Oreochromis niloticus: one gene and its partners. The protein of the gene in region 3 purifies or fractionates together with the protein of the main gene of each other region. This does not show direct contact. Links are inferred from orthologs where the notes say so. Each region holds a gene or a part of one and is shown on either strand. Other genes may lie near its edges. The genes, in order: exoc6, exoc3 and exoc2.

What was found.
Region 1: the proteins of exoc2 (region 3) and exoc6 purify together in Homo sapiens (affinity purification with mass spectrometry; 5 studies listed by BioGRID and IntAct, counting the BioPlex papers as one, with this or other methods). This does not show direct contact. The link is inferred for Oreochromis niloticus from reciprocal best matches to the Homo sapiens genes EXOC2 and EXOC6.
Region 2: the proteins of exoc2 (region 3) and exoc3 purify together in Homo sapiens (affinity purification with mass spectrometry; 6 studies listed by BioGRID and IntAct, counting the BioPlex papers as one, with this or other methods). This does not show direct contact. The link is inferred for Oreochromis niloticus from reciprocal best matches to the Homo sapiens genes EXOC2 and EXOC3.

What each region holds. Positions count from the first base shown.
Region 1 is NC_031973.2:28,333,795-28,342,298, forward strand, and holds the start of exoc6 (exocyst complex component 6), read right to left. Parts: upstream 3,439-8,504; 5' UTR 3,397-3,438; coding exon 3,251-3,396; intron 3,240-3,250; exon of another isoform or gene 2,229-3,239; intron 1,448-2,228; exon of another isoform or gene 385-1,447; coding exon of another isoform or gene 1-384. Other genes in the region: zinc finger protein 862-like, read right to left, coding at 1-384. UniProt on the Homo sapiens protein: Component of the exocyst complex involved in the docking of exocytic vesicles with fusion sites on the plasma membrane.
Region 2 is NC_031982.2:271,630-279,994, reverse strand, and holds the start of exoc3 (exocyst complex component 3), read right to left. Parts: upstream 3,207-8,365; 5' UTR 3,045-3,206; intron 1,933-3,044; 5' UTR 1,875-1,932; coding exon 1,731-1,874; intron 1,480-1,730; coding exon 1,260-1,479; intron 1,135-1,259; coding exon 962-1,134; intron 260-961; coding exon 47-259; intron 1-46. UniProt on the Homo sapiens protein: Component of the exocyst complex involved in the docking of exocytic vesicles with fusion sites on the plasma membrane.
Region 3 is NC_031981.2:27,117,155-27,125,137, forward strand, and holds the start of exoc2 (exocyst complex component 2), read right to left. Parts: upstream 3,371-7,983; 5' UTR 3,290-3,370; intron 1-3,289. UniProt on the Homo sapiens protein: Component of the exocyst complex involved in the docking of exocytic vesicles with fusion sites on the plasma membrane.

The DNA of each region.
Region 1 (8,504 bases), on a different chromosome or scaffold from region 3:
TATGGTTTTTGCAATTGGTGTTTGTTCTGGGACAGATGCTGCAGACTGAGCACCAATGCATTTCTTGTGATGCAGAGATTTCTCATGAGTTCTGATGGGGTCTTTCCTAAAATTACTGGTCCCAGTAACAAAGGTGCTTGTCGACTCAGAAATCGAGGGAAACTCACGACACACCCGGCAGGACATCATGTTATTTAGCTCGTCATATTCCAGCCACAGAAATTCTTTTGTCCATGAAACCAAAAAACTGCGCTTTCTTTTTGCCTCGTAGTCTGATTTGTCGTAACTTTTCCGCTTTGTGGTCGGCCTTTCTTTGCCTGTCCCTTCTTCATCCTGACCTGTCTTTTTTGGCTCAGCAGAACTAAAATACCTGCGTAAATCCATCTGTCTTTACACATGCCAGTGATTTTTTTTTTTTAAATTCTCTGCGCAATCAACCTCTAGCACGTTTAAGCTTGCTGCGGGAGATTTCACTTGCCACGTTTGAAGAGTAAGCTAGTAAGTGATGTTGTGTCCTGTCTGACTATACCATATTGCACCACTAGAGGGTGTTGTCATCAAATAAGAGGAAAGTGCAGTCGGGAAACTGTAGAGTTAGCCGTCTTAACTATATTCTAACTGATAACTCGATGCGTCTCCGTTACCTCTACGATGTAAAGTTATGTGCTGCATTCATTAAAGAGCACTGTTCTTTGATGAGGACTGGTTTATTACCTGTCGCTGCTACAAATGATAACAGGATTGCCGAGGAATTGGTGCGCAATTAATCGTCACTCACCAATCAATACTGCCACTCTCTATACACAGTTTGCGCGATCGCAAAGTGAAACTGAAGGTAAAAAACAAGCGCAAATTCAAATGCGATTTCAATACGGCAGATATTGACAGAGGCTCATCGATGCCAATGACATAATTACTCAGCTACATTTGCGAAAGAAAGCAAAGGCATTGACATATATTTTCCCTTCCTATGATAGCCCGACGGGCAGGGCTGAGATAGATTTTGGTAGCCCGACTGGAAATATCGCTAGCCCCGGGACGTCGGGCTAGCGATTTTGCGAGCCCTGCAACCACTGATCCAACCACAGGCATTTCTGGATCTAACATTTGTTTTTGGTGCATTCACACATAAGTTCATGCTTTTGAAGTCAACATGTATGTGAGGGAGCAGCTACACTGATCAATACTGAACTCATAAGGGGAAAAATAGACAGCAGGCATTTTTGGCCGTTGGCTTGATTTTAGTTTCGGGTTTAATGAAAGTATGATTTGCAGAGATGACAGTTTATTCCCTCAACTTTTTCATCCATCCATTCCCTTCCGCTTCTCCTTTTCAGGGTCGCGGGGGGGCGCTGGAGCCTTTCCCAGTTGTCTTAGGGCAAGAGGTAGGGTACACCCTGGACAGGTCGGCAGTCTGTCGCTATCCCCACTCAACTTTCTATTACATCTATTGTTTTGGTGGATTAAAGAACGCTGTGTTAATGAGGACATTACTAAGAATGCAGGAGTCAAGCCATTTTACACAAACTAGACTAAACATGTTAGTAAAATTATTAAGATTTATCTGTGTTTTTGGTTGAATTCAGCAAAATTTTTCATTGTGGCTTGTTTACACTGGCAGATTTGTACAGTTCATCTTCTCTCCTGTGTTTCTGAAAGTGGGACATTACTTCCCCAGTATCTATTTTGTATTCTTTGTATTTCACTTGCACAGTATGTATTATGGAGGGTGACCAGTGCTGCCTTAATGGTTAGCGTGTTTGCCCCCCTGCTTCACAAAAATGGTCTTGGTTATTGGCAATCTCAAGCAGGATAACAGAATAATTAAATTATGGACATGACGTCCAACACTAGACCCATAGTGCTCTGAAAAGCGACGTGCCCTGCCTCCTAGGAGCAAATGCACTCCAAAACAAGTGAATCTATGCTAGAACAAAAGAAGAAGACCTTGTGAGGATGCTGAAGGAAACAGGTACAAATCTTTCATTGAAACAAATATGCCAACATAACCTGCATTCCTCAGCAAGGTCAGATTGCAGTCTACAAAAAAAGACATAGTGAGGACATGTCTTTGCCTAAGTCCTCTGGTTTATCCTTAATTACTGTTGTAAAGAATGAAGCTACAAGGACAATGCTTTCAGGCTGGCACAGGTCTAATGGTGATTTATAAGACTGAACATGAGTGCCAAGTGGTAATGTTAATACTGGAGTAACTGACTCGCTGTTACCATCATGAAAAGATAAGTCAGTCCACCACACAACACCCAGTGTTTATAACTCTGTCCCCTGAGCCATATAATAGTCCACACCCAGGAAAGGCCTGTGCACTGCACTAGAGCTGCATTTGGAAAAGAAGAGCACGTTACTATCCAGGAAATATTTACTAATATTAGCTATAAGAAAAATTCAGTTTTTAGCCTGACCCTTTCAATTAGTTTTCTTATTATTAGTAAGCTCTACAGTAAGCAAAGCAAACCCCTATGATCACTGACAGCACGTCACTGTCATTTTACAACACCCGACCAAGCTGCCTAGTGATGAAGAAAAGACAGCGTCACCGTAGAATAAGAGATGAAGACACACGCTGAGAAAGCTAGATAGCATTGTTACCTGGAGGGTATGAGAAACAACCATGGCCTACAGGCACGTCTACAGGACAGGTGTGACAGGTGGAAGCATTCAACTAATGTCATTCACTGTGGCCTCGGAAGCTACTTCAGGCATCTAATTGCCTGAAATAACCAGTGCGGTGTGTTAAGGAACGTCAGGCTGAGCAAACCGGTGTTCCAGAACACCGGCATCCTCTGTCACTACCAATTCTGTCGCCAGAATAACACAACACCACAGGATCAGTATTCTTATCCGCTCGTAGCATTCGTTTTATTTTAGCTAACAACTACCCAAAATCGTTACCTGTTAGCCGTTAGCTAACTCAAGCTGCACAACGACGTAAGGATGTGAAGTCCCACAGCCACACCCACAAATGATGTTGACATTTTTGACAGGTCACTAGTCATCCATCCTTACACATAACCTAAAAAATGACCACACAGTCACCGCTGCTAACACGACAGCTAGCCTCATTCCTCATTTCAACACTATCTAGACTGTTGGCTAAAATAGCCAGCGCTAGCCTGCTACTGGGTAAGGCTAAGCTAGGTCTTAAACAAAAGGTGTGATCATGTAATACACAGTGAAAAACAGAGGACCTATATCGCTAAGGGCATTTTTAGAAGCTATATATCCTTACCGAAGAGTAGGACCGACACAAGCTGTGTCGGTGCTTTCAATTTCCTGTAAAATCCGCTCGTGCTCCGTTATGCACTCCAGGGTTTCACTGTCCGCCATGATTGTTATGTGCATATTACGGCTATCACTGCAGCTACAGCGGAGCATAGGTCAGTGTGAGGTCCGGCCTGTGGGAGGCGCACTACGGTCGTCTTGACCTCGGCGATTGCGGCTTTGTTTCCGCATAGCCTGTGCCTGGTTCCTCAACCACATGGAAAACCACACGGGTTTTGACTGTTTATGATCTTATCATAAATACTGTATAGCGAGTGGTTTGCATGGTTAGCAGTAAAAAAACAGGAAAATAATTTGTACTGTCATTCAAACGGTACTTGCAATAATAAAGATGCCTGCTATCAAATGAGCTTTAGTGGCTTTTATTTGATTAATCTCAGTTCTGCTGTAGATACATTTTAAATAACAACATACAGAGGAGGTTATTTAAATCTTTATGGTGTGCAAGTTTTTTATTTGTTTGTTTGTTTTTGTTTTGTTACATCAAGATACAATTCTGGTTAAAGCCTGACAAATAATTCACACTGACGCACACTGACGTTAATAATACTAACCCTTTTTCACATTAAATGCTTCTGTAATTGAACTCACAGTTTAATCAAATCAAACGCAGTTTGCATGTGTCCGCTAGCTTCTAAGTGCGTTTTTTTTTCCTGCTCTTGGTATTGAGATAAACCAGCGTTTTAAATGTTGTAATTCAGCTAAATCAGTCCACCTTCAGTTGTGTTCAGCAGATGAATCTTGGGTGTGTCTTGGAGTTTACCTTAAGGTGGTTCCAAGAGGTAAGTCCACAGATTCCAACTCTGCAAAAATATTCCCAAAAGCCTTCTTTTCTTCTTCTTTGCCTTCTCCTTCGCTTTGACCAGGCGGGTCAGGTAAAGCAGCATAGATCCTGTCACTAGCCATTCTCTCTTAGTGAAGTATGTCTTAAGTATGAAGACTAAAAATCTGTACGTGTAAGAGAGGATATTTTGTGTGTGTGTGTGTGTGTGTGTGTGTGTGGAGTCGTGCAGGACACCTGCTGTGGTCAGCAGAAAAAAAGGGTGCAACAGGAAAAAGAGACCTTGTGATTCACTGAACTTTGAAGCCAACAAAGCTAATTTCAGCTGTTCTGTGTTAGTAACTGTGGCTTTTATTCACCTCTGAAAATTAAAAAGACAGTCATCAAGCTACAGTTGATGTTGCAGATACAGGGCCTGATTTCTTAGTTAGTTGTCACACTTGTATACTGATCAAAATGTAATATTATAAAGCTTGAGGAAATACAAAACTACAAAATGCAGTTTGATGATGATTTTAGTTGTTAAGGAAAAAAAATCTCTCCAAACCTCCCTGGCCTGATGTGACAAAGTCATTTTGCCTAATAATAACTGTTGTATTAATAATATAATTAGTAATAATATCCATGAGGGATAACCACTTGTTCAGTGACCTGTAAACCACAGAGCTCCCTTTTCTGTCAGTTTGTTCAGTCTGTTGTTGTCAGCAGCTCCACCAGCAGACTCTCCACAACTAACTGATAGAAAAACTTCTCCAATATCTGCTGTGCATGTTAAAGGATTTCAGTTTCTTTGGGAAAGATAGACTTCCAGTTCAGCCTGGCTTCAGAGTGCAGAGGTGGCAAAAGTACCTAAGGAGAAATACACAGACTTGATTCAACTTCTTTACTGAAGATTACTTAAGATTAAAAATGATGACATCTCATCTTTAAATCTGCAGTTTATCAAGTGTCACGAGCAGTCATTACCTTTGAATATAACCTCTCTTATTCCGCTCCTCTCATGTCTTTTCTTACATTTTCTCCATATATGAATGAAATTTGCTCTCATTTCTCTCCCTGGAAATCCAACATCTGGACCTTTAGCAACACACTTTGTGACAAACTGCACATGAACAGTTTGTGTGTTTGCTGATGTTTGTTGAGCTGATAGAAACATTGTACAAATGTCAAACATAACAAATGTTATGCCGTACAGAGACATTACAGCCTGGACTCATTCCTCTTCCGTAGCGCTAGCTAGAAGCTGGCTACAACATACCTGCACTTGTTCCAGCCCACTTTAACCACTGAGTATAAACACTAGACGATACCGCTGAGCCTAAAGTAACTAGCCTGTTTTGAAAATTTAAGGAGTAGAAAGTACTAATATTTGTGTTAAAATGCAGGGAGTAATAGTGAAAGGCTGTCAAAAAAAATAACTAGTAAGTAAGTATTTCCAGTAAAGTACAGATACCTGAAAATACCTGAGAAGTATTTGTACTTTGTTACTTTCTGACTCAGTCAATGTGGATGTCCAGGTACTTTTACTCCTCCACCACATTAATATTATGTCTCAACACAGACACAGTGTATGTGTCCTCTTCCCTCACAGTTCCTCTGGTTTTATTCACATTCAGATGATTTCTGTCAGGCCACTTCACAAAAAAATCCACTAGTGTTCTGTAGTTACCCTGGATGTCAATTATGATCAGGTGCAGTGTGACGTGGCTGGTAGGATAAGGTGGGAGGCTGGGCATGTGGACGCCCAATATCGCAGAATGGCATTTGGGATGTGAGCTGGAGCACTACTGACTAGATATAGTTTGTCTCACCTCCACAGGTACCAAGGGTTTTGGAACAAAAGTCTGGCAGATGGGACTCTGGATTTGTCCTTTTCTGGAGTATCCAATGGTGTTAGGTGCTGAGGGGATGCTTTCAGACCTCTGTCCTACACACGGGTTGACAGACTGTAACATTTGATCTGAGGCTGTGGACACTTGGGTAAAGAGAGCTCCCTGTTGGCCACACGACAGGTTTAGATGAAAGTCACCCTGAGATGCTAAAGGCTCTGGACACTGCCTTGGTTGACATACGTCTTTAATGATACGTGGAGGTCTGGCACAGTGCCTGTGGACTGGCAAACCAGGATGGTGATTCCCATTTTCAAAAAGGGGGACCGGAGAGTGAGCTCCAGTGGTCAGGGTATTACATTTGTTCCAGGAAAGGAGGTCAGTTGTTGAAACTTGGACCCAGAAGCAGCAAAGCAGGTTCTGTCCTGGCTGTCGAACCCTTGTGGGACATCTGGAGGGATAACAGGAGTTTGACCATCCAATCTATGCGTGTTTTGTGGATTTGGAGAAGATTTTCCTGGGGGTACCTGTGGGTGTTTTGGGGTCCAGCACACTGCTATGGGACATCAGGTCCCTGTAAAACTGAAGTGCAAAGTCCTGTTTTTGATTTTTCATGGACGGCATCTCAAGGAGCTTCCAGGGTGACGAGGGCGTCTGCTCTGAGAGTCTCAGAATAGCAACCTTGCTTGTTGCGGATGACATGGCTCGTTTGGCTTCATCAGAATGTGACCTTCAGTACTCACTGGAGTGGTTTGCAGCCTCACCTGAGCCTGGTTCTGCCAGACGTTTCTTCCTGTTAAAAGCAAGTTTTTCCTTCCCACTGTCGCCAAAGTGCCTGATCATAGGGGGCCATCAAACTGTTAAGGTTTTCTCTTTTCTCTCTGTATTGTTACAGGGTCTTTATCTTACATTATAAAGCCCCTTGAATGAAATTGAATTGAATTAAATTCTGTTGACTACAGCCTATTTAACAATATAAGCAAAGGTCTTGCACATTAAAAACAACCTAAAACAAACAAACAAACAAACAAACATCACTGTTTTGGCCGATTGTCCCTTCTTTGCACTGCACTTGCAGGAGAGCAGCATGACTCCTAACACTGTGCATGCTTTTTTCTTTTTTTTAACTAAACTTGACGTGAGTATTTACTGAACCACAGTCTGACAGTTTGTCTGTTTACCACATATAACGTAAAGTCCAAAAACTTGTCAGACTCGCACACCGTTTAATTAATGTGATGGCAGTTAAGTGTGGCACACATACACCACACCACCTCTCTCCACAAGCAGTGGCGCTCTGGAAACCATGTGACCAATAAGAAATGAAAAACAAACACATGCAGGTTACAGGTGTGACACCTGTTAGGTTAAAGATAAAGAGCCTGTGTTAGATGTTAAGCTAGTCATTCCTCCCTGTGCATACATGAATCATAGTTTCCCCATAAAAATATATTTTGAATGTTTGCATTTGTTCACTCCTCAAATAGTATGGTTATAATTTTAAGCTTGCTTCTGTGGGTGATTGCACTTGACTATGGAGGCTTAAAAAAGCATGTATTTGGCATTACACACTGTGGAAACAGTACTCAACACTTCATCACAGTGATAATGTAGTTGGGCAAAATGAACGTTCTCAAATACTAATGTTACCTAAAACTACACAGTGTAAATGTAAATGACTACTGCATTCTATACAAATACAAGGAAGTGTGTGTGTGTGTGTGTGTGTGTGTGTGTGTGTGTGTGTGTGTGTGTGTGTGAGAGAGAGAGAGAATATTGTAATGTTTAAATGTACTATTTGATTGCAATAATAAAACTCAGCTCAAATGATTATGGTGTGTGGATAAACACATGGTGGCACAAAAGGTTACCATCTCTTCTTAATATTGTGGGCAAGGCAACAGGCCTCGGTCAGCTTACACAAGAACTTTCTATTTCCTGCTATTCTTCTTGGAATTGATTGGCCCATTAGGGCCAATGACATCTTTACAAAAGCTACAACTATGAGTTTCCTTATTACCCAACCAAAAACAAGTACTGGGTCACTCTCTCTCTCTCTCTCTCTCTCTCACACACACACACACACACACACACACACACACACACACCAGCAGTTGCAAAAAATGGCTTGATATTACACAATGGAAATGAAGAAAGCATACATAAACATTTAAGATGACAGACAAATGCAGCTTAAACTCTCTCTCTCTCACACACACGCACACACACTCTCTCTGTGACACAATAGCACTGATACTGTATTACTTTATGAGGCGTGTTTAATTTGAGTTTCTGGCATTAACACATTTTGAACACAGCAGGGAGAGACATCAGTGCACATCGCTAATCTGTGTGCAAAAGATCCCATTATATAAGACAACAGTATATATACTTCCAAATACTGGCAGCCAAAGACTTTCTTGACTTAAAACATTGTTTTTCCTTTGACAGTAAAGATGTACTTGTTGGTTTCCAGCACAGTTTCAGTGAAGTTTTTACATCTTTATCAAACTGAAATACTGACTTGTGTTCATAGACAAACAATCTTTGTGAACATTGACATGAAAAAACTTGAGTATGTTTTTATGTCC
Region 2 (8,365 bases), on a different chromosome or scaffold from region 3:
TGTTGATTTTTCTCTCAGTAGTTACAAAGTATTATTCTGTTCTGACCTCAAACATCTTTTCTTTCCACTTTTTGGGTCGCCCAGGCGGGATGAACCCAGTCTGCTTTTTTCGGTCAACCATACGCCGATCAATCTTCTCCTCCCGCTCAATGATACGAACTACTGACACCAGCATGGTGGGGTCACGACGAACTGTTACCATGGACCGCTGCAGTACCATCCATAATTGTTTAGCCAGCTCGTCTGACAGTCCCTGAACCTGGAAGAGAACAGAGAGAGCGAAAGCTTTTTGAGAGGCTTCTGTACAACTACTAATGTTGAACCAGGCTATATTCTTAATCACGGGAGTTTTTTGGTCTGGTTAAAAACAAAAAGAATGAATGCAGGTTTAAGGAACTGGTGTCACTTCATGAAGCCAGGTCAAACTTTTTTAATCATAAACTGTATTTTTTTAAGCACTTAGTATCTGCTAGTATCTAACAATCTGAGATTTTTATTCACTTTTTTCAGATGTAGCTCTTTTATGCCTTTTCAATGCCAAGTTTTCAAATGACAAAAGTACCTGTGCTGTGACCATGTGTGACTGACACTGACTTGTCCAATGAAATTCTTAAACAAGGCAGGTAATCTATGCCAGTTGACCAGGGGTGCACAAACTTGTAACCCAAGAGGAGAATTCCAAGCGCCAACTGGAACTCCGCTTTGCATGTATTCATTTCCTGTACAAGGAAGTGAATACATGCATATTATTTGCATGAACTTTAAGCACAATGTAATGGAGTTTGACCACAAAATGTATTCTAGCAGGCACGTGTGCGCAACCACACATGTAGTCTGAGCAAACTGTACTTATTTATGACGTTTTTTTGTATTTTGTGATGGATTTTATTCCAACAACATTTTTAGGGGGACGGCTGCCACTGGTCCAACTCTCTACATCAACTTTGCTATGTTCGCTTACATCTTCAAAGTAGATGGAAATGAGATTCATGTCACTGGTGTTCTTGCTGTCCATACGGTACTGCTCATACATGAGGTCATCACGTGAACACTCCAGCTCCATCAGCTTCCTGTGGGCCTGCAGCAGCTCTGCCTGTTCTATCAGCTGCTGTGTCTCTCCCACTATCTCTGGCACTATACACAAAGCAAAGGAAAAAGACACCCATGGCTGTAAAAACCAAGAGCAGATAAGGTTTCTATAGTAACGGGATGTTGTTGGCATCTTTTAGATTGAAGTTTTTAGGTTTAGCTAAACTTACCAGAGAAGATATTTTTTAGGTTTTCCACAGCAGCAGCCAACTGGCTGTGCTGAACTACAGCATCCTTGACGTCTTTTAGGTTTTCAATGGTGTTAATGCTCTGCCTCCAGTCTTTACTCACATCAGCCAATGAGCTCTGGATATCTTTGACATCTAGCAGAGCACTGTGCAGCTGGGTCAGTCCAGTCCGAACACCATCCAACTGGGACTGAATGGCTGCCTGAAGAACATCAAGGACCATCAGGAAACAGATTCATGTTCAGTATCATTGTTGAATTACTGTGACTTAATAACGTTGTGCTATATACAAATGCTTTGCTTTCTTGTTTACCGTGTATCCATTTACTGTGTAGATTAATAATTAATACAGTCGCTATAAAAAAAGCATACCTTTATCTTAGCTGTTATTAAATACAAATACTAGACAATGCTAAGAAAACAATAATAGTACACACAGATGAAACACATCACCTTGAGCCGCGCTTCCACTGACGCCTTTTTACGGGCCTCTCGTCTTCTGTATTGCTCCACTTTATCCAGCTGGTCTGACCTCTGCAGCATCCCTGCCACACGCTGCACTGCAGTGGCAACTGCCTCCCTGCTTGTTTCCTCCATTGTCCTGCTCAGGAAATAAGGTGTCAGGTGTGTCCAAAGGTTTCCACACAAGGACCTGCTTAAAGAGAAAAATATCGAAAGGGTTGATCTTTATGTAGTGCTTTTCTAAAACACATTTAACCATTTATTCAATGCAATGCTTTGCTTTACAAACTTTAGCACTCATGACTGCTTTAGATACCTTGATTAATGTGGACATGAAACCCTACGTGTATAAAGGCTAATTTACACTATAAAGCCCAACTCTAAAAACTGGCATAAATTTTCACACTGTCTGTGAAGCTGGATTTAAGAAGTAAGTTTTTTAGAACATGTTTAGCACCATCTTGTGCCAGTAATTCAATTCAACTTAATTCAATTTGATCTACAACATGCTCTTATCACTGTGATAAAATTTTGAACGCTGTAGGCCATAAGAAGATCATTTGTATCCTTCTCTAATTCTGTTAGAGAAGGATACTGTGCTGTGATGAGCTCTGAAACCTGACTGAAACTCTTCAAATAAGCCATTCCTCTGCAGATGATCAGTTAGCTGTTTAACAACTACTTTTTCAAGGATTTGCGAGATAAAAGGAAGGTAGTCAGCCACTGGTGTTGGGGACTGTATGCTGCGGCTCTAAGATGGTATTCCACTTGTGAAGGCACATACATCTTTCCAAGGTCCTGTTTATAAAACCAATAATGCTGTGCAATTATTGAAGGTAATGTCTAATCCTGACACATCACATGCACGTGAATGTCACGTCCATTATTTTCTTCCGGTTATCCCATTCGGACGAAGGGGCGCTGGAGCTGTCACAGAGCAAGAAGCGGACTAAACCCTGGGCAGCTCTGTCGCAGGGACAGAAAGTCATTTCCAAATGACTCTGGCACAGCCTTTGTCTTCTTGACAGTACTTCATTGGCAGACACAGTTAAATGGCTTCTGTGGTCCTAATGCCCCGCGTAACGTTAATGCAACACAATAAAAGCTAGTGTTGTTTTTGCACTGACAGCTATAGCACCACATTCGAACACAGTCGTGACTGGATCAAGTATATAAATCAACTCTAACGTTGAAATGAAAACAGATGATCCAACGTAGTAAATGCATGCTAAGCTAACAACAGGCGAAAACGACCCAGTGTCAGCGACAATAAAACAAGCTAGTTCTTCAGACCCGGAAACTTACCTCACTTAAGGCAAACCCAGAGGGAAGACAACAACCATATCTACCAGTATTAAATATATTATTATTTCAACTAACACAGCCTTTGTTGTCGTTGTTCAACTTCCTGCTTCCAGCAGCGCAGGAGACGCCTGCTGCTTCTTCTTCTTGGTGTTTATTGGCTGTTGACAAACAACGAATTGGTGAATACCGCCACCAACTGGTTTGGAGTGTGGATCGGAATGTCATACAAATGCGTTTGTCTAAGACAATTAAATATGGCCTGGTAACTTTTGCTTCCTCATTTATTTCTAAGTAAATCATTTAAATCTAGTTTAAGTTTAAATCAATTCAGGCTTTCAATCAGTTGTCTTGCTTCTTCCTCATACAGTGTAATATAACATTCTCTATTGTCTCATCAATACTCACATTTTTCATTGCAATGTTTCCCTAAAATGAATAGTGTGCCGTTTAGCCCAGTGTGCCGAAATCTGAGATGTGATGATTGTTTTTTTTCTCCTCCATCCTGTAGTTTTCATTTCTCCAGTTTTCTTTGGATTTTATAAATCCACCATCCTGTCCTTTCTTTCTCCCACTGTTTTTGTCATCTCTCCTTCATTTTGTGTTTGTGTTGTATTTTTTTATTTTTTATTTTATTAAAGCTGAACAAAAACAGTTTTTGGTTGCACATTTTTTATGTGTAATTCAATCCAAGTAGAGCACGATTTAAAAGCACAACTTTGACGTGCTGTACAAGGCAACTAAACACACCACAACAAATCAATGAAAAAAGTAGGAAACACATTTTCTGAAGAAACTGCAGTGTGAATGCTGATAGCTGAATGTTTTGAGCTGAAATGAAATAACTGCTGAATGTTAAGTTAAAAATGTTGAATGAGCTGAAAAATGCGGAATTTTTCACCTGAAAAGAAAAGTGCAGAACTGTTGAGAGCTGACAACCACAAAGAAGTAGCTGAACATGTTTAAGATGTAAATTAAAAAGCTGAGAAATGACAAAAGAAAATTTAGAGTCAGAAAACATCTGAATGAATATTAAAAGTTCATATTCTTTGAATCACTGAATAACTGAAATGTGGGAGAATTCACTACAGACAGGTAAATGCTGTAAGTTTTAACCATTCAGTCAGAAAAGATGATTCTAAAAGTCATCAAGTGACTCCAGCAGCCCAGATCTGAACCACCTGTGTGCAGAAGAGAAATCCACCAATGAACAATAAGCTTGAATTTAACGGGCCAATCAGAATGCTCTATCCAGCTGGCATGCACTAACCCAGGGGTGGGCAACTCCAGGCCTTGAGGGCCGGTGTCCTGCAGGTTTTAGATCTCACCCTGGGTCAACACAGCTGAATCAAATGATTAGTTCATTACCAGGCCTCTGGAGAACTACAAGATATCTTGAGGAAGTCATTTAGCCATTTGAATCAGCTGTGTTGGATCAAGGACACATCTAAAACCTGTAGGACACCGGCCCTCGAGGCCTGGAGTTGACTAACATTGCACTAACTACTGACATACTATTATTCTGTGGCAAAACCCTGTCAAATCTGCCTTACTGCACCTGTTGAAAAACTGCATCTAAATCCAAGACCGTAACTCCTATCAAAACAGCCTTTGAACCGTGAGGATCCCGACGACTAGTTCTACACAACAGTGTGTTCTTTATGTTCCTGCTGTCAAAGAACGTGGTCACAGAAGTGATTTAAAAACGTGAGGTCTTTTCTGCTGTTGAGACAAACTCCTGAGTGAAAATAAAATATTTTTCTATGGGTTAGAAGGTTATCTCTCTACTTGGATCCACACAGTTCAAAAAGTTTACATCTCTGACCTTTGAAAGACACACTGTTGGAAAGAGAACAACAATGGCTATGTTTTGAGGTTTAAATGATGGCTGTGGAGCAAACACTGCGCACACAGCGGCTGTTGAAACAGAAGTCTTTAAGAGTAATCTTGGGAGATTGACAAACAGAGCTTATTAAGGAGGCAGGTGTGAGCCTGGTTGCTATCCGGTCTTTAAGTGATGACGTGGTGAACCCTACTTCAGAGCCCGAACGACTCTGCGTTTATTAAGGCTGTTGTGTTCTTAACAAGTTTTAATGCTTTGTATCTTGCTCTATTTAATCTCCACGAGCCCCTAAAAACAGTAAGGCAACAGTAAGTATCACTGTCGGCCTCTCTCGATTTTTATTACCACTGTTCATCATAAAGCTCCGTTTTTAAAACCACAGTCCAGCAGTTTGCTGACATCACCAGTCAGGCTAGAGCTGATATCACCAGAAAGGGCAGATGAGAGCGGCTTGCCCCGGCTGGGCAGCCAGAACAGCACCACCAAGGCCGGAGATTGAGCAATACTGAAAGAGCATTTGGGAGAAGGACACAGTCCATAACAGCAATGCTCAGTGGCTAGTGAATTTTAGATCAGACCACAGCAACCTCCCTGAATAGGGTCCAGTAACCATTACAGTGGCAGACATCCAAGAGTAGGCCTCCAGTATGAAGAGTTGGACATCACCAGGCCATGACATGGTTCACGGCTTAAGAAGGTTGCACTCCATAAGCATCTGGCAGCACAAATGAACCATCTGCTAGTCGGCGAAAGACACCCGAAATGAGTCATGACTAACCGACAGCCGGATGGTGCTGATCCTCAGGGACTCCAGGAGGGGTCAGTCCCATCCAATAACCTGCCTCAGTATCACATGGAAGCTCTTGTCGGGCATCATAGCAACTAAGATGAACAGGCACCACCACCACTATATCCTGTTGGTTAGCTGAACTGGCAAGAATACCAGAGGCGTAGACGGACAAAATGGTGGCTAACCAACATCACCTGTCTGGTGATGTCACCTAACCAACAGGATATAGTGGTGGTGGACAAGCGGAAGAAGACGCTACAGTTATCGATGTAGTGATACTAAGTGACAGCAACATCAGGAAGAATGAACACGAGAAGCTGGAGAAGTACCAAGGGCTCAAAGAGGAGCTTGAGAAGATGAGGAAGGTGAGCACTAGATGCAGTGCATCCCAAACTAGGCAGGGAGTTGTAATTAGGGGTCCCATCTTAGTTTTATGGAGTGCCGTGTCATTAATTTACATGTGGTCATTTGCAGTGTATAGATCCCCTGTTAAGTGTGGTGACCAACCATCCTCTTTTCCCCTGACATGTCCACTTTTCACGTTCTCTCCAGGGCGTCCGGGGGGATTTTCGAGATTGATGAAAATGTCCGGGTTTTCCTACAGAGGACCCATATGTGTGACGTCATCCTCGAGCTGCAGCTTTGTGAGTTGTTGTTCTGCCACTGTGCTCACAGACGGGACAGACAGCGCGCAGCAGCGGGCCTGGTGATGTTTAAAAGATGCCAAAGCACAAATGCAGCTTTTCAGACAAATTGCAAAATTTCCCTCATACCGTCCCTGTACTGGTAATTTGTCTTATACAGATGAGCCCTTATTTCAGTACCATTATTTAATTTCAGAGGTTTTTAAGTTATTTTTTTTCCCTTGTTGACTTGTAAAAGCCTATGTGACATTTTTGTTTCACCATTCATTAACCGCACAGAGAAGGCATCGTTTAAATATGTTAAAATTTTCTTTAAGCAAACAGTATTATTAAAGTTCTTCATGACTGGGCCAAGTGTCCTCTTTTTTGGAAATCAAAATATGGTCACCCTACTTTATACTGGTGTGGACAGATTTGTCCTCCCTGGGAACACAGCTCGCCACTGTCACGGTCTGCGGGAGGCAGACCGAATGGAGAATGAGTGGAGGACTCAGGTGTGGACACTGACGAGGAGACGGAATTACTTTAACGAAAAACCAGCCTTTATTTGGGGCTGATAAGAGAGCATACAAAAATTAAGTAAGCAAACTGGTAGAGCGCAGACTAAGAAAACTATGACTAAACTATTACGAGACTGGAGAGACTGTGAAAGCTATGAACGCTGAAAATACTCTAAAACATGAAGGGACACTATGAAGTCTAAACCTAGACATGGGGAAGGGAACACAGACGACACCACACTGAACACAGGAAGACTGAGGGCTTAAATACACACACGAGGTGATCGGGGGAAGTGGAGACACATGAGGACAACAGCTGACTGGAATGAACATAATGACGCCTCAGTGGAAGTGAAAGCTAAGTACATAGAACATGGAAACAAGACTTCCAAATAAACAGGAAACATTACAAGATGCAGACATGACATAAATTTAACCAGCACCACAGAGACATAAAGCATGATTTTCAGGGCCAACTCTTGATACTTGAACCCACATAACACAACCAGGAGTTTTTGCAAATCGCTCTAACACATTAATTTGGCAGTCACAAATTAATGAAGCAGGGAGACTTAGAACAGGGGAGAAGACAAAAGGATCTGCAAAGCAAAGGACTAACACAGCAATCTAGGCATCGTAGCACTTAATAAGGTAAACTAAACTCAAAGCAGAACACGAATAGAAAACAAAATACAATAAAACTCAAACACTGGGTCACACGACCCAGTACCGTGACAGCCCTCCCTCAGTCTTTGTCTAAAATCCTCCTTTTAAAGTGTTAGTTGTGAAATAAAGTTTTGTGTCTCATCTTTTGTGGTTTTATTTTCAGCTCTGACTTGTGAATATTACATCCTGTTGTCAAATATAGGTTACTTAGATTAGATGAAACTTTATTTATCCCTTGGGTGGGTTCCTCCAGGAAATTCACTTGAGAAATATGGTGAGAAGAAGAGAAAGAAAATAATTACATGCTTTGTCAATTTCCTGCTATTATGGTTGATATCACTGAAAATAGGGACATATGAAAACGAAATAATAATTCTCTGCAGAGCTGAGCAGAAGCAGCTTAAGATTCACTCTCCCAGGATGGAGTTAACTTTAAGAGCAAACTTGTTCAGGAAAGACAAAGAAGTATTAGATCATATAAGAGTGTGAACTGTTGCCCGTTCCTTGTTGGCCCTGTGATGCACCAGTTTTATGCAACCTTATTACAGTCTTGCCAAAGGTGGCCGCTGGGGGGGTTGTAGTGACAGCTCCTCTGGAATTAGTTTCTGTGTTAGTTGTTCCTGTGTTCAGTTATTTCCTGTTTTATTTTGTTAGTCCTTTGTCTCTGGGGCTCGGTGTTTAGATTAACATCCCCTGTGTCGTTGTCCCTTATAAATTTCGTCTGTGTCTCCACTCTGCCCCAATAACCATTCTCTGTGTATTTAAGCCTCAGCCACTCCTTTGTCCTGTCCTGGATGTTGAAATCCAGGTTTTTTCAGCTGAGCACTGTATTGTTAGTCTGTTAACAAACATTTACTACAAAGAATGTTTTCAGTCTAATG
Region 3 (7,983 bases):
AGACAAACAAACAAAACAACATCCAAACTGACCAATTATACAGGGCAGCTAACATTTATTTTACTTTACTTTTACTACTTGGTGACTGCTGGTACTAGTTAAAAAAAAAAAAAAGTAAAATAAACCTCATAAAATAAACAAATCAGCGAGGCAGCAATATAGTAAGCAATCTTGAGGTGAATGACGGCAGCGAGTCTGAATGACGTGATTCCATCTGTGATCTGTGTTGGTGTACATGTCAGACAACTGGCATGATTTTAGGCCATTTAAATGTTCATACATTGTTGAGTGTTTGGGTTTTTTGTGATATAATTGTAACCTGTAAACAGGTTTCAGTTCACTTCTCCAATAAAAGAGCCTTTGGGATTTTATCTGCCTTCTAGAGAATAATGTTACTCACCTCTGTTGAGTCTTATATGATGTTTAAGAAGAGTTTATATCGTTTTGGTCTAAAATAAATTAAAATCCCAAACAATCAGCATAGAGCTAATATATATGAAAGTCCAAAAAAAAAAAGTGGCAGGCAACAAAAATGATTACCAAGCTAACAAATAATCATTGACCTATTCATTTTGTATTAAAATATGTAAAAAACAAATTAATTTAAAAAAAGAGTTGACATAACTTATGACATGTTTGTTTTCACGGGGCCACAGCCCCTTTGCCTATCTAGATCTGACAAGGTCACAGAAACCCCGGAGTGAAGACCAGTGGCCCAGCAAGCTCTGTGTGTAGGCTGGGTAATGCCAGGTGGGGCAGAAAGCAGAAAGGGGTAAGCGAAAAGTGCTGCTACAAACAAAGTCTTGCCCAGCCCCCATCACTTGATTCACCCCGAGGTCTACGGAGCTGCGTCACTCAGGAAATTCTAAAGAGAAAAAGAAAAAGAAAAAAAAAAAACGCAGCCCACCACATTCCACCAAAACAAACAACAGGGCCACCCAAATTTTTCAATTAGAGCCCCAGGAGGGGACAGGAAATGGATCAGTGTAGCCACCCCCCACCTTCCCCTGTCACCAATGCTGACTCTGGACTAAAGAAAGAGAAGTGATACACAGAGCTCTGTAGGCTCTAACTGTAGAATTGCTACCATGGACCTCAACTCGAATGATCGACATCTTATTTCTATGACACGGCACCAGCCTGCTGTTGACTTGTCAATCAAATTGCTCTCATTCACTCTGTCATACAATCAATCAGTTAAACTAACACACATGGTAAGGAACCACTTCCATGGGATAGAGCTATTTAAAGAAAGTACGTCTAACAACATTAGACAAAAGCACACAAGAAAAAGGATTACAGAGGCTTAAACTGTGTTCTGTCTGAAAACACTAAACTTAATGAGACTGAAGTGAGAAGCGTTTACATAATATCTGGGAGGTCTTTATGTATATTAAGTTGTATCTCACTGTTTACATATACTAGGAGTGATTGTATGTGCAGCCACAGCTTGAAATGTTGAAATGCACTTTCTTGATCTCTGACTAACATAGACTGGTTAGAATATTTAGAAAACAAAAAGAAGCAGTGCTCATCATTGAGGCAGCATTATGCTAAAGAATCTTGAGGTGAATGACAAAAGTGATTCTGAACAACGTGATTTTTCACTTTGTAACTTTGTAGTGCAACTGAAGTGTGACAGACGAGCAGCATTAGGAATAAACGCTAAACATATCGTAGGTCAGTTACATCCTGCACTGATTCAGACCCGAGTGTTGAGAATTTTCAGCACTACAGCCTTGTAGTAAAACAATGTGCTTTCCCGTTAAGGGTCAAATTGTTGCAATTGCTTAGCTGTTGAAATTCAAGATGTGCTTTCATAATATAACCACTTAAATCAGTTCATCTTACAATTCACTCAGCGAGAATTAGTGTGTTTGTGGTCTATTTCAGGAAACAAATAAAAATTCACTGATTTCACCCTCTCAAATATAAAAACTGTAATGGGTACACAAATCAATAATGTAAATAATCATTAACTAGATAGAAAATATGCATAAAAACATCACAGGTGCACTGACCTAAATCAGAACTAACTGTAGCTTCAACCACAAGAAGTGATTATCTTTGATGCGCCACATTACCATGTAATTATACCTCATAATCATCCAAGATAAGCGTGCCATTCATGCAGGGGTAATGAGGGAATATGATTCTCACATGAACTGAATGAGCATTCTGAGAGAACGTAACAATCATACCAAATTAATTCCCCAAAACAAGTCAAGTTACCTAATTTGAAATATACTAATGTTTAGTCTTATCAGTTTGTTTTCCAGTCAGTGCCTTTCTCTGTCACATGAGGTAAATGAGTGTAATCACTTTGTTTCTTTTTTCTTCTTTTTCTTGTTTTCACTCTCTAAGTTTTTTCTTTTTCGTTCTCCAAGTGCCACTAAGGTGTTTTAAGTGTAATTTCATCACACTAGCAATCACTTCTTACTACTTCAAATGCATGTGAAGTCACTATTGCAGATTTTATGTATTTATTTATAAAACAAAAACCCAAGAGATTAGTTGCAAGGTGGGGTCGACGTAAGAAAGAAGGTGGTTTCTATATGAAATCTTGATGTATCTTCTATATTTGCAGACAACCGCACCCGTTGAATATAGCGTTGTGGATTACAACATCTGGCAAGTGAAGTGCCAATTTAATGCTTTGAGCATCACATAGGTTTTCATTTTAATAATGCATCTGCTTTATGAACAACCCAGCTGTTATTCAGCACTAATCGAAAAGTAAACAAAACAAAGGAGGGGTCACAGCTAAGCAAGACAAGAAGATGAATTTTTATAGCTATTAACGTAGTATAACCTTCCCGAATTTACCAGAAGTCAATGATTACTAGTAAGAAGTTTCGTCACTAAGTGTATCACTACATAAACAACGCAACACCAAATTTACTTTAATAAGACAGAAATTTTAACGGAGTTTGGCACAGCTAATCGTAATATCTCTAACACTGCAGAATGACACAAATAGACCATTTCCCAGTTATTTTTTTTCGTCAGACAGGTTAAAGCCAACTGCTACAATAAGTAAATAGCTCTTTCGTTTTACTAGAAAAAAGAATACAAGCTTTACTGAGAAATTTGACAGCTGCAGTTAGCTTGTGCTAGCGTTTGCCATTAACCGGATTTGTTATGCTAGAATGATGTTGGAGTTAGAGGGTGTCATTCTCGTTCGTCATGACCATAAAAAGGGCTTAGATTTCTAAATGACATGGCATAATTATAGCGAGCTATTTGGGGTAGAAAAAGTAGAAGATATAAAGGGAAATATTTAACTTACAATTTACAGTCGCTTGCCTTCTGCGGTGTTTCCTGTATCATTTAACTATTTCCGGTCTTCCGTTTTTCATGCAGCCTTCAAAATAAAACGAAATGAACTAAAACGAAATAAAGTATGTAATGCAGTTAATTTGCTTGTGATCGATATTTTAAGTAATCAAATATGTGCCTAAAACTTTCGGGTTCTTAGTAAATGTGCCTGTTTTTTTTAGTATTTATCACTTTGTAAATGCATATTTACAATTTCTGACGGTAAATGTGTTTAACTCGGCGATCTCCATAACTTCAAACAAACTCTGTAGCATAGTAACTTTAATTATTTGTTTTATACATTTCAGGCCTTTTAAATGTTAAAATTAAATAAATAATAAATAAATTAAATTCTTTGGCACTAGTTATTTTGCATTTCTGTACAGCACTTTGGTCAACGTTGGTGATGTAATTAAATGTGCTATATAAATTAAAAAAACGATGCACGAAACAATAAAAGATCAATGTAAGAAAACAGCGTGATCACTAAAGCCACTTTAGTCTCTCAGCAGATACCCTAATTACCTGTGGAAACTTAATTAGGCAGTTATATTACACGCACACACACACACACACACACACACACACACACACACACACACACAAAACTTTGCTGACCAAGGTTTTAATGTAATTATGTATCCATGGTGGATCTAAGTCTCCATGCAGCAATAAAATCAGCCTGCTCTTCTGAAGTGTTGGTTGTCCATTGTGTGAGAATTTTGAAGCCCATTGGGAGCTTTGCTCCTTTCCTCATCTCTCTTTTCACGGTGCATCATTGAGGTATTTCCACTTGTTCTGGGAAAGGCGCAGCATCATTAGAAATGCAACAGAGACCACCCAGGCACACACTAGAACACTGATGGCATTACATTTATCTCACCAAATTGTGCAGGGCAGAAAGAATTTCTGTGATAAGGCAAGGCCCAATCCCCAGGGAAAGCATATTGTCCAATTAGACTGACTAATCTGATAATTGAGGGATCAAACTGTGACTGGGGAGTTTGCACAGATGCTGATGTAACACAGAGGCTGTTTGTCTACATAAACATCTACTTAAAGCAATGATGGTGGAAGATTTTGATCTCAGTCTCAGTGGTACAGTCTTTGCCAATGAATGACTACATCAGCAGTATATCACACATATCACCCAGGGAATACAGAAATAAGTGGCAGTATATATCACATATTTTATTATATTATTGAACATATATTATATATGTTTTGTAATATAAATGTTGTGCATTTGTACATATTAATTAATATGTACATTAATATACTGACAATTTTGCACTAAATGTTTAGTTGAAGGAACATTTCACAATCTTGGGGAATAAACTTTTCCTTCTCAGTGATAAAATGAGAAGACCACTGTCCTGTCTCTCTGTTAAAGATGAAGGTCATGCCAGCACATGGTGGTGTGTGCCTAGCATAACAATTGGAAAGAGAGGGGAAACAGCTAGTCTGGCTTTCTGGTTTCCCAACCAGGGAATATATGTCCTATTGATCTTCTCATCTATATCCCAAAGTTTCAAAGAAATATAATCTCGATTCAAAATGATTTATTTAGTGAGGAACACGCGATTGCATGTTGCGTTTTTAAATAGTGCAGGCTTTCTGAGCAGGTGTGCTCCTGAGGGAGACGATTGGTGCCCTCATCCTTGCTTTGACCCCCTAACCTTCTGTAATCTACATCTCGCAATGGCACATGCTGCGCTGGCACCATTGCTCATCCCCGAACCCTATTGTTCATTGTTTGTCTTCTCCAGTTTTTTCCCATGGGCCCCTGGCCAGTGAGAGGAAAAGGTCACTGTAAATATTGCACTGAAATCCTCCCGCCCTCCCATAGAGCTCCTGAAGATGGAACAGACGACCAGTGGGTGAGCACTTCCTTCCTGCACAGGGCATTTCAACTGTATGACATCAAACAAGTGTGAATCCCTCAATGTCAAAGATTACTGCAGAGATCATATGCTCAGTGTTGACATTATAATAACCTGTGCTGCTATACTGTAGATACTATACTATGGTATAGTATCTACAGTACATGCAATTCCATTTGCTTACTAAAACAAAAACTGAGCAAACAAAAAAGTCTTCTATCTGTCCCAAAGCTACTTTTTAGTCTGTTTCATAGCATTAAATACTAATAATATGTTTTTAATGACCATATATCAGTCCAACCTGTGCCCATATTATGGATCTCAAAATAAACACAAAATATGTATTCCAAAGGAAATTAAGTGAAGTTTTGGAACCCCACATGGGTCAGGGTTAGCCTGTAGCACCGCTGTTAATATAAGACAGGGGATATTAAATAAACCTCTGATTTCTGGGTTTGTTTGGCTTCTGAGTGGTGCTCTATCTCCCCCCTTTTTCTGAAGGAGCCCAGTTCCCTGGGCTCACATTTTGGTCTCCGGAAATCCAGGCCTGTGCCAGGCTTAGCTTGGAAAAGCATCCAGATGAACACAATACAAAAATGAGATTTGAGGGGAACAGAGAGCCTTTCAGTCTGAGTGCTGACACACTGCTCAACACTGTCAATGACTGCACAGCTAATGATTTCTGTTCCATCAGCTTAAAGGGTCATCACTAGTGGGCACTCTACTTTTGGCCCTATGAATGTTATGAATGTTATTATGTTATTAAAGACATTTGTGATGAGTTCAGAAAAGTTCACTGTTAGGCTTGGGGTACATTTCCTCAGCAAAACCTTGTCACTATCCATGCAGGGCAATTGTTTCTTTGGAAATAAATTTCTGATGATGTTTTCATTAGCGACCAAATTAAATATAATTGCAGGATAGCTACGGCTAAATACCATAAGTTTTAGAAATTTGGAACCAAGACATAAAGACTACAGGAGAATTTGGCCGAAAACGGTGGGTGTGAGAAGGTATAAAGGGGCATTTTCCCAAATATTCTTGGGCTTTTACCACCCAGGTTAACATAACATGTTCCTTGCCTTCTCATAACAACGCTCCTTCAACCCCCCCCTTCCCCCCAGGCCAGACAACAGGCTACTGTGTCTCTGGAGGCACAGTCCAGATCAGCTCTGAGAACTAGGGGGAGCCTACAAGAGTAAAATGAAAAATCCTCATGGATGGTAAAAACAAACTAGAAACATTTACTTCACAAATAGTTTGTTGTGTAATACCACCTCTTTTGTTTTGGGTTTTTTGGGGGGGTTTTTTTGACTGTTGTACACCAGCCCCTCCTCGTTTGAGCATCACAGCACTGAGGGGAAACAGCTTTCATCCACGGGGGCAAGCTGAAGCCGTCGATGCATGCTGCACTTTGTGTTCTGTTTCTGATGAGATGTGACTGGCTGGAGTGCGTTCATAACTGTTTGTGTTTACGAACAGGTGGACTTGGTTACAGCTCGGGGTTATTTGTGTGCAGGATGGGCCAATGCCAATTGCAATCAAGAGGACATTCTAAAAAATCATACACTCAGCAGGCTGATGTGATGTGCTCCAGCTCTGCTTTCTGTTGTTGTAGGTCAGATGTTTTAATTTGAATATTTATACAGTTTAATGCTGCCATCTTTTTATCCTTCGGCGGGGTTTTATTGTAGCTATTAATTCAAATGTAAAATGATATCTTATTGCAAAGCATTTCTTTTTAAAGACTTAAATATTCTCACTCAACCTTGTTCAGTTTAATCATCAGCATGTGTTTTACTGTATCAGTTTAGATATTTTTAAACATTTTTTGGGGGGGGAAAAAAAAGACACCTGCAAGTATATTTCCTCTAGTACAAACCAGTGTAAATTAATAACTGACCCAAATGTGAAATACTGACAGCATGAAAGATTTTTAAAAATGTTGTAAAACATAAAGAACTGAGCACGTCAATAATTCCAGAGAGTATTTGGAGCAGTATGGGACCTACTTCAAGATATTAAAGAAATTAGGCAATTAAAGGACACATCATGGATTAAAAATACCGCAGGAGAAAACGCTGAGAATAAACTTAAATCTTGTGCTCCCCTGTGTGAAAGGAAGAGAGGGTTTTAACTTGAATGAGCCTTCTAATGCCACACATGGGCTTTCTATCCCATGGATCCTTCTGTAAAGTCTTAACACCCTGAGGACGAACTGCATTGGCCTCAGTGAATATTAACTGGACTTATTGTGTAGCATGTTGGCTCACATAACTATGATTTCATAACACGTCTTCATTTCCGCTGCTAAATCAACGACAGTGAGGATCCAGGGCTTGGCGGGCTGCTTCATTGTGACCTCAAGATTTTTCCTCTATCTGTGCGTTTCATATATTTCATACAGAAAAAAAATGCAGCTGCAACTCAGTAGGGGGCGCCCAAGAACGTCATTTCGGAACTTGGCCTCCTTTGGCGAACGAGATCCCCATGAGGATCTCGTTCAGAAAGAAGAGAAGGTGGACAAATGCGAGAAAAGCTTTGTTGTGAGGTATAAGAACAGTGGGAAAATGTTACTGCAGGGTTATCAGCCTGTCTGTATAAACATATAAAGCAACACAACTGCCCTAGAATACAGTTAGAATAAATTTAGGTGTGAACAAAAGGAAATGATTAATATATTTTGAATATTTAAAATAAAATTAAAGCAAAATGTTTTCTATGTTATACATTCCCTCTGAATTCAATGATATATATGACTGTTTTTATTGATTCCTAAGCC